3 linked regions of the Styela clava genome follow. The protein of the gene in region 3 interacts with the protein of the main gene of each other region in a biochemical or structural test. Links are inferred from orthologs where the notes say so. Each region holds a gene or a part of one and is shown on either strand. Other genes may lie near its edges.

The links.
Region 1: the proteins of cullin-1-like (region 3) and cullin-associated NEDD8-dissociated protein 1-like form a complex in vitro, tested with the Homo sapiens proteins (6 studies listed by BioGRID and IntAct). The link is inferred for Styela clava from reciprocal best matches to the Homo sapiens genes CUL1 and CAND1.
Region 2: of the proteins of cullin-1-like (region 3) and sentrin-specific protease 8-like, one has a biochemical effect on the other in vitro, tested with the Homo sapiens proteins (2 studies listed by BioGRID). The link is inferred for Styela clava from reciprocal best matches to the Homo sapiens genes CUL1 and SENP8.

What each region holds. Positions count from the first base shown.
Region 1 is NC_135258.1:12,202,806-12,206,567, forward strand, and holds the start of cullin-associated NEDD8-dissociated protein 1-like, read left to right. Parts: upstream 1-1,404; 5' UTR 1,405-1,480; coding exon 1,481-1,548; intron 1,549-2,021; coding exon 2,022-2,165; intron 2,166-2,900; coding exon 2,901-3,008; intron 3,009-3,296; coding exon 3,297-3,445; intron 3,446-3,762. UniProt on the Homo sapiens protein: Key assembly factor of SCF (SKP1-CUL1-F-box protein) E3 ubiquitin ligase complexes that promotes the exchange of the substrate-recognition F-box subunit in SCF complexes, thereby playing a key role in the cellular repertoire of SCF complexes.
Region 2 is NC_135263.1:15,659,959-15,662,878, forward strand, and holds sentrin-specific protease 8-like, read right to left. Parts: upstream 1,530-2,920; 5' UTR 1,326-1,529; coding exon 663-1,325; downstream 1-662. Other genes in the region: 5-formyltetrahydrofolate cyclo-ligase-like, read right to left, coding at 98-676. UniProt on the Homo sapiens protein: Protease that catalyzes two essential functions in the NEDD8 pathway: processing of full-length NEDD8 to its mature form and deconjugation of NEDD8 from targeted proteins such as cullins or p53.
Region 3 is NC_135252.1:8,236,464-8,240,225, reverse strand, and holds the start of cullin-1-like, read right to left. Parts: upstream 2,417-3,762; 5' UTR 2,277-2,416; coding exon 2,269-2,276; intron 1,777-2,268; coding exon 1,683-1,776; intron 992-1,682; coding exon 942-991; intron 556-941; coding exon 357-555; intron 1-356. UniProt on the Homo sapiens protein: Core component of multiple cullin-RING-based SCF (SKP1-CUL1-F-box protein) E3 ubiquitin-protein ligase complexes, which mediate the ubiquitination of proteins involved in cell cycle progression, signal transduction and transcription.

The sequences.
Region 1 (3,762 bases), on a different chromosome or scaffold from region 3:
TGTATTGGTCTGTTGGTAGACCAATTCTGCAATTGCTGAATTCAGCAATGACCAGCAGACCAGAGTCTTAGAGTACAGAATCAATTGTCTACCAATCTACAGTTAGTATCAGTTTCAACGGTTTAATGTTGTCACAGTGCGATATAGCAGCGTTAACTTAACATATACAGTACAGCACACTATCCAAATTTCAAGGATTTCCCCTTCATTTGGCTCAATAAAACAAAGACTCTATGTGTCTCAAAAACGAGGGGCGTCTGGGACCACGTCAGATGCTTCATATCGCGCCATGCTTGTCTCAATAATAATCTAAATTAATCGCGGCCGTCACATGACTAAAATTGCCTGTTTTTTCTAAAAACCTTACGAATGCACGGTAAATTTTTTTTTCCTTTGGTAAATCGGATTATTTTTTCTCAAGGAATTCAATGATGACGTTATTAGATTGCGCTTTTTTATAGTATTTTGGGCAACTTCATTATACTGTATTATTACCGATATTGAGGACAACAATGTCCAGACGTCTCCCAACAGAGGGGTGTCTGATCATATGTAAAATGGGTTTTTTTGAAACGGGACAATGTCACCCGATTTGCATAGTGTGTTGTACTGATATATAGGTAGCCAAAAATTTCCATATTAAGTTGGTACAAAAATAAAATATCATGTTTCATTAATTACAATACTGCAATACGAGATATATTTTAAGCTTTTTGTCAGGTGTTAGCACTGTAGAAAACAAAATTCCTTTCAGTCTTCTGACCTAACATTATATGATTATAGTTCTCTGTGTTAAAAAAGGAATTACTGTATTTCATTGCCCAAAAATGTACAGATTTTGAGAAGAAAGAGGAAAATGTAGTTCACTGCATGTCACATTACACCTTACCTCCCACATACATAATTCATTCAATGGAAATCTTGACCCTTAATTTAATTTGGTCTCGTGTAGTTTCGTACCTAAAGTCTGAAAGTACTTTCAGTGGGCGTAGCATAACGATGTTAATCCTAACCCCCACCTGACTATGCCATCCAAAAATTATGTCACTACTACGTTACAATCACATCATAGAGCTTGTCAATGTATACCTACGATTGCCCAAAATGGCATCTGCCCGGCGATAAAGAACTCGCTATCGACAGCGATCTTTCTCTTATCAGGATGGATGCGATGAGAAAACGAGTTTGCTAGGTTTCGGGTGATTGTCTGCGTGTTTCGTATAACAGTTCGTATTGTTTAAATTTGAAGGGCCTAATTACTTTATTACGTCACTGTGACGTCGCAGTGACATAATTTTTGGATGACACGGTGGGGGTTAGGATTGACATATGCAAAAATTGTTATGCTATGCCCTCCAGATGTACTTCAGGTATGAAACTACACTAGACCCATTTAATTTAACTTTCTTTTTTATTGTTTTCATTTATAAAGTATTTGCTAGATCTTATGTTGATATACAGTGGCAAATCATAAATTATCATGGCGAATGTGTCATACCATATCTCGAATTTATTGGAAAAGATGACTTCAAGTGATAAGGATTTCAGGTTAATATTTTGATTGAATCTACATGTACTTTGGCTGTTTGTTGCCTTGCAAGGATTACTATTTATTTGTTTTGATCTCGATAGGGATGACCTGATTTTGTGTTAAATTTTGCAAGCACAAAATTCAGATACTTCTCTATTATGCTATGCTAAAGGTTTCATTACCGGAACAAATTTGGCTGTGAAGCACATAGCGGAATGCAATGTTCTCAGTTGCGTGATACATGCTGTTATGTTCTCATTGAGGAGAAGACTGTCTGCATGTTAGTTATGAATAGAAAATCTGAATTCATATTTGCTTTAACTGTATTTATGTGAACAATTTATTTTAGACAACACACATTTATTTACAAGCTTGAATTCCTTCTTCTGAAGCCCCTTTTGCTTCATGAAGTCATTATAGATATTTATAGAAAGAGAATATAAAATAATTTTGTGTTTTTTCTCATTGCATAAAATAAATGATTTTTTAGATTCATGGCAACAAATGATCTGATGACTGAGTTACAGAAAGACTCCATAAAATTGGATGATGACAGTGAAAGAAAGGTTATTAAAATGCTTCTCAAATTGCTGGAAGATAAAAATGGAGAAGTTCAGAATCTTGCGGTGAAGTGGTGAGAATGGATGACTTTTCTACCCATATCCTAAATTCATAAACATAGTATCCATTAAGCAAACTTGTTTTCAACTTCTTTTCACCCACAGTACCCAAAAATGCAACTACTGTTAGGTTTGTTGAATTTTTTTTCATACAACAAGGCTTTATACAAGCAGCCACTAGTATCTATTGATATGTAGGAGGCTACTATTTTACAAAGGACTGGAAACTTGGCGTTGCCTGCCCAACTTAGAACACTCTGTTTAAGATATTGGGCATAGGATTTGAAACTGAGATGAATATGCCAACTCAGTTAGATCGAATTGTTTAACGCCATCAGGATTCTTGTCCAAAAGATGTTGATAAACAATAGGCTCTTGATCTAGAGCAGGTGAATTTAAACTACGGTAGTTATTATTTTAGCATTTCGAATGTTTAGATACTTCTGTTACAGTAGCACTATAGAAGGATTTACATATTGGCTAAAATCTCTGAAAATGATCAAAGAAATAGACTGGATAATGTAATAGACACCAGTTGTCGTCAAACTGTGGTCTTCAAACGACCTCACTTTTACCGTAAATGTGTATATTTGGTCCAGCAATACATTAAGTTTGCTGACCACAGATGCATTCAATTGCTTTTCGGATTGATGATTGCTGTGTAAACTGTGAATGAATGACCATGGCTGTTTTACTCAGTTGTCAAATTTTTTTTAGTTTATTTACCCTTATGTTGTAATATTTTCCAGTCTTGGACCTTTGGTTGGTAAGGTGAAGGAATATCAAATTGAATCAATAGTGGACACTTTGTGCAACAATATGTTGTCAGATAAAGAACAACTGAGAGATATATCAAGGTAATTTGATCATAGAATCAATTTTAATAAAAAACTGATTATGATTTGATTGAGTTTTATTCCATTTTCTGGCAGTCAACTTGAACAATACTGAGTTTAAAGTGATTTTTGAACTGCAATTCTGGGGAACCGTAATCACAGGGAACAAAATTGTCCCAACTGCGATAAATGCAGATTTTTAAACAAACTACATCAGAATAAACATCCCTCAATGTTTGTAACACTGTGTACTGAAATGAAATTATATTTTGTAATCTTTTGATTAACAATCGTCTAACCTGTTTTTAGTATTGGTCTGAAGACTGTCATTACCGAACTCCCAACATCAAATTATGGAACAGTTGGAACTATTTGTAAGAAGATAACCAATAGACTTACTTCAGCTATTTCTAAACAAACTGATGAATCAGTGCAACTGGAAGCACTTGACATTTTAGGTTTGTTGAGTTTTTTGTATAATACAAATTACGATTAAATAATAAAAATGTGATTTCCTCAGTGCTACACAAATTTACAAAAGCTATATTGATGTACAGTATAGGTCACCTTTGTGGTTAGTTCTGTGATTCTTACTATTAATAAATAGAAAGGTTTAAACCCCTTTTATTTGGAAAATTTTGAGATGTTATCTGGTGTGAGCGCAGTCAGCCATTTTTTGTATGAAAAAGTATGGAAATTGTTAATAAAGTAAACATTAACCATATACAATATGAAAAGCCCTACTACATTTTGTCATCATTCATAATATACAATG
Region 2 (2,920 bases), on a different chromosome or scaffold from region 3:
TAAATGTTTGGTTTGTGTGATAAAAACCTTTATAAGATATTTCTATGAATATTGAACAAAGCATTTCAAAGTATACATAATTTACTGGTGACTTGAACTAATCAGAATACAAAACTTCATGAACAGGATAGTCGAATTCTGACACTGGGATTTCATTGCATAATTGCACAGAATAAGCCAAAGCCAATAAATATGGGTGGTATCCATTTTCTTGTAACTTTTTAATGTAATTGTCATAATATCCCTTCCCTCTGCCAAGACGTTTCCCATCAGTTGAAAAGCCAAGACCAGGCATTAATATTAGGTCCAAGCCGCCTGTAACCAAGGCATTTGGTCTTGAATTATCATTATCTGATGGCTGCTTAATATGCCATGATGTTTCGGGTAGGCTGTTGTAGTCTTCCAAAGATTCCAGTTTTACCATATCCATGGTGTTCCCTATATACTTTGGTATATAAACATCTTTTTTCTGTTGAAATGCTTGTTTCAATATTGCATCAGTCTTAACCTCATCATTCATACTTAAGAATATCGATAACCTCTTACTGGATACATATTTAGGGTGTTGAAGAACTTGTTTGGTGACATTATTTGACTGCAATAACTTTTCCTCTTCTGTTAGTGAAGAAATTCGCTTTTTAATCTCCTTTCTGAGCTGCTTTTTAGCTGCTTGCATGTTGTTCAGCCAACTGTTGAATCAACTTTTTCCAATGAGCCCTTTTCTTTTTTATATATGAGGCACAAACATTATCTAAAATACTGCCATTTTGAAAAGATTCGTTCTTCAAGTAATATTCAAATAAACACTCGGTTATTGCAATTACATACATACCACAGTCATTACCATTTGTTTGTTTAGGACATTGCATCTGAGTAATAGTAACACTTGGAAAATCAAATAAAGCAGCAAATTGCTTACATAGCTGGTTAGCAGGTTGTCTATTGAAACATGTTGATGAATTAGATAAAGAATCAAAATGAAAAAAACATTTTGACGAAAAGTCGCAAATGATCAGACTCCAATGAATACCACCTGGATAAAGTGTATTGTTATCATTCAATGGTATGAATGCAAGTTTTTTCGAAGTGAAATTATGTGGCCCTATTATGGCTGAGGCCTCTTCGGTTGTGAGTGTTTTCAACAATTGCACCACACTAGGATTCATGAAGGCAACGATGTCTTTAGAGTTTTTGAATTGTTCGACTTCAAAATACTCATAAACGAATCCGATTATCTTATCATTCAGCCATTGTGAATCATTCAGAAGTAATAAGTCTGACGTATACAACAAACTGTCTCCGAAACTTAATATTATTTCATCCATAGAAATCAATCAATAGTACAGCGTTGTAAACGAAATAGTTTAACAATATAGTCCAAAACTATTGGAATAAAAAACAATTTTGCAAGGCAAGATCCTGAATAAGGCTTGCAAAAGATTTCATTTTAATATCTAAAACATCATACTTTCATGGGCAGTCAAACATTATTTTTTTAATTACTGCAAATCAACCTGAAAAAATATATAGTAAGTAAAAAATACGGTGCGAATTTTCACTCAAAGTGATTAAAAATGAATTCCGATTCTGGTTGTTACTTGAAATTTTAGTGTAGAAACTACTGCATGAAACAAATATCTGAGTATACAATGCAATTCTGTCACTAAATTTTCTGCAATTTCGGGGACTAACGTAGTTTTGAACCACAATTCTGACAAGTAGGCCTACTTCTAACTAAGGGGGAAACCCACTGGCCCCAGAGTAGTCAGAGGTCAGGAGGTGAGAAGGTGGAAGTATGTTAGGTACGAAACTACATGAGACCCAAATACCGGTACAAGTATCGTGTATCATGAGACAGCTGTATGAAGCCCATGTTCAGATATTGCCCCGCGATTAGAGAGTGAATGAGCAAGAACCCCATCACATCGAGACCCTAACCACACAGAAATGTACTTTCCCGGCCTTTGACCCCCACAATATTTTTCCTATAGACCTTTCCCCGACCTTTGACCCCCGGAATGCAAAATTTTCGGAGATATTTTAAGAGTGCTTTTGCGAGTTGGCGCCTGTAAAATGGGGTATGTGCTTCAAACTATCATTACGATTCATCGCATACAACAATCTGTTTTTTTAGAAGTACCGATAATAAATTTTAGCTTAGTCTATCACAAGATTTCTACACTAATTTTTTATTACTGCAATTAAATTAAAACTCCTAGGAAACTTATTCATTGTTCATTGAATTATCTGATTTATATTTGAGTTTCCGAAACACAACTGAAAACTAACGGATAGAGTTCAAAAACGCGGTAATGTTTACACCACACTTGACGATCTGTCTGAGTGAGAAAAGTGTCTGAGCGGATGCGAAAAGGGAGCACTGTTTCGTCACGTTTTGCATTTTGCTGATTGGCCAATGTCACGAAGTAAACAAGGAAATCGATGCTCGGGGAAAGGTCCATGCTCCACCATCGCAAGATTTGATCCTTTCGGGAGTGATACAGCTAGATGTCGCTTGCAAACTGCTTAACAAGTTTAAAACAGCCATTTTTATTGAAAATATTCAAATACGTGCCGCTCACTGATTGTCAATTCAAGCCTAGTACCGGTATATCGTAGCTTTTTCTGGACTAATTTTGAGCTGAACTAAAACTTCCCGGAAGACACAATGGCAATCAGGTTAGTTGATTCACAGCCAACGCTTAAAATCGACAAAAAACAGGCAAACCCACGAAAACGGGGCGATTTTTGGAAGCATGCTTATATATCCGTCTAAACTAAGCGGTTCAAGAAATTGCAAATGTTACGTCATTGTTACGGAAACAAACAAGGAAAACGATACTCGGGGAAACATCCATAGGTACTTTGCTATGCTTGTTTACAACTGCTTGTCTGAGGAAATCTGATTTTGGTCAGAGAG
Region 3 (3,762 bases):
CAGTCACTAATTAAATTTTTGACCATATAGATCTGCCACTTGGTCACATTGAAACTGTTTTAAATTATATATAGAATCAAGAATATATAAAAAAAATATATAAGTACCGAAACTATGAATAGATCCAATTGTTAAATCCATGACTACATGAATTAAATTCAACTTCTTAGAAGCAAATAGCCAGCTCAAGAAAATATTGGAACATTAATATTACCGGTATATGAAAAAAAAAATAGTTCAACATGATTAATGTGTAAGTCGAAACACTAATCACATCGAAGGAATTTGTTGGTAAAGATAACAAAATAAATGAACAGTCAGTTTTGGAAATACCGGTGGTTGGAAATTTCACGTACCTGGAGTATACTAGATAAATAACTTTGCAAATATGATCGGAGTCTTTTGTACAGTTCATGCCCAACAAAATGTGCACTTTGAGCATTCTGCCATTTCTTTCCCGGTGATGATTTGAAACTGTTATTAGAAACTATTGCACCTGGTGCTTGACGTGAATTCCCACTAAGTTGAACGCATGTGCAGTAATTGTATACATGCCTGAAATTATTTGGATAGACCACTAGGAATGATATTTTTATATCTAAAATAAATTGTGACACCTGGGACATAAATCATACATGTCTTTTATAGAGAGATATTCAGAAACAATACAGAATGTTTTTTCTGCCAACCCACCATGACCCAGAACATGCGATGTCAAATTGCATACATATATGACATACAGTAAATACACATATATAATTAATAAGGAGATGCGCGACATATTCAATTGAACATTCATATTGGTGTTCATTTGTTTTGTCTCTTTGTCATTAACCTAATATGGTAAATCTAGATTAGACTATATGTAAAATAATACCAGTGGGTGGCAATCATTAAATTTCAATACAATTTTAAATTATGGTGGCAACAATAACGCTTACGTGTAGAGTTCAATATATCTTGGCTTCGTCATACTTTTGATTGTGTAAACCTTAAATAAGAAGTATTGCCATATATAAAAAGAAAATTTTGATAAAAATGTTTTATGAAACGGAATGCAATTATCATTCATAATATTAAATTTTTTACATTAAATTCTATATTTCCTGTACAACCTTCAATTTCCCTCCCCATACAGGATGGGCTCAAATTTTAATTAAAAATTAGGTGATATTTGGTAGCAATAAAGGCTAGCGTCGTATCTTTGTAACCAAAGTAAGTTGTGGCCTTGTTTTGAAGCTACTTTCATTTCCTACCAAGAAATATAAGTGTGGGCCTTTCTACAACATTTGAATGTGATGAAATATTTTATACAAGTATATACATTTCACGAAGGAGTGGTAGCAGAGATTACCCATAATAGGATAAACACAGAAAAATATGTTTATACAGATGATTATTTTACACAGAAGGTTATTCGATATTGCTTTTATAAATAAAAGTTTTCATGTCATCAGAAAAAATTCATGACGTTTTTCACACGATAAACTGGGTAGTCGAATTCAATCGATGACAGATATAAGACATTAAAATGGGATATTCGATTGACCTCAGCCCGGCAGCGTCCTGCTGACTTATCAGATAAAAATAGTCACTTCGGACGCTCCACTCGATGTAACTTTAATTTAAATAGAAGATATGACGACACTTGCATCCTGATATTTAATTTAAGCAGGATTTACCTGATCCATCCCTTGTTTTAAATCTTCCCATATTTGTGTTAAACCAATCTGTTTTCCTGTTAGTGATCCAGAGTTCATTCCAGATTTCCTGGAACTGAAAATACATTTATTATAATATATCAATAAAATTTGTATAATGTATATGTATAATGTAGTCTAAAATGGTCCCAAGCAAAGCAAATTTCAATTTTGTACAGGATTCAGCATAATAGGCTATTGAATTATGTCAAAGCAGGTTATCGATATTCACATTAAGCCATATCATTCACAAAATGAAAGTTGTCCCTAAAGTTTCAAACAGTTTAAGTAATGAAAGATGGATGTGTAACAAATTCAAAATTAAGATGGATTTCAAATCTTAGATTTGCCAGAATCGACATTGTGTTGGTAATTACAAAGAATAAAGTGTTTTTTTATCCATCTGGCTTAAGTAACCACCAATCGAGCACCAGTTAACTTTAAGATCAGATTGAAACGTACACTTCTAAAGAACACATTTTAAATCAACCACCTACTGACCTATACAAATAGAAAATTTGTGAAAAAATGACAGCTGACCACATGAAGAAAATGAAAAACAGCTTACTTAGACATTATGAAGTTTGCTGATTACAACTTCTGGCAATATACAGATTAAGTTACCAGTGTTATCTTGAAATAAATATTGACATCTGATACACTGTTATGTTTTTTTATGTAATAGCTGAATAGAAAACAGATCAAGATAAGTAGGAATCTTGGCTACAGATATAACCGTATCGTAAACTTTTTCTCAAAATTATAACATAATGCTTTATTGTTAGGATATTAATATTCACACAGCTATTACTGTATTACAAAGGATCAGATTCATTTGATACAATACAAAATTTAGTGGGATTCCTGGAAAGCAGTACTGGAGTAGGACAGTCGAAATATAAATACAACAGAACTCATGAAAAGAACATTTACTGGTACTGACTTAAGTACTGCGAGTAACAACGGTTGTGTTGAAAACTGCAGAGCAAATAGACTGCTAAGATAAGAAGAAAAATTGTGTCTAGTTTAACTTACATTCAGGCATTAAGTTAGGATATAAAAATTTATCACGTGGGGGGGAGGAAAGCCAATAAGATGGCATAATCATATGGCGAACCACAGCCTCTCACCCGGAGACCAGCCAATGTTGCTTGAGATCAGTTAGCCAGTTATTTGTTTTCGGAAGCACAGAAGCATGGACTTGATGGTGGAGGATGCCGTAATCGACCAGGGTTATGTGGGGTGAACCACCCTCTGACCCTACGGCGGCGATGAGTCCAGCAATGCTTCTGCACATACAGACATACCTATCGCACAGGATTCAAACCTGCGAACCCATGCAGGGTTTGGCGAGCGTATTTCTAACGCTTTGAACGATGCACCGCACCACCGAGCCGCATTAGTGCTGTAGGCTAGTGCACCTCATTCCAGAATACTGGAATGAATAATTCAGATTTTCTAAAATCTGGTTAATGAGTTAGGTAGTCTAACTCCGTTGCATTTCCACAAATCTGCTCTTATTACTTCACCTAGCAACCAATTTCTGAATTGTGTTTTTGTTAAGGACTAAGGATTCCTGGATTCACATATTTCCAGTATTTTGTTGATATTCTTACTGTCTTATGAAGTAATTAAATCGGTAAATAAACAGAGAATTGTGGAGATAACGTAGCTTACTATCACGCGCTACATACTAGATAAGTCTACACGTATTTAAGCTAAAAATCACCGAATAATCGAATTGTTGTTGATTTTAATACAAAGTATTTAAATTATAAATAAGTTAACCAGATAATTGTTGGGATAACGTAGCTTATACCGCCATGCGCTTCATACTGGATAAGTCTGTACGTATTCAAGCCGAAAATCGCCGAATACTGGAATAACACGAACATCTACGGCTCGGACAACCAGCTCAACAAACAATGTAATGCGAACAAAGAACAGGCGAAGTAGCGGCGAGTCAAATTAACTGAGCGACAGCCCAACAGCTAAAGCCAGAAAGCGGACGAGGCGAGACATAGCACACAAATAAAACGACTTCAGATGAAGGCAGTGTGGC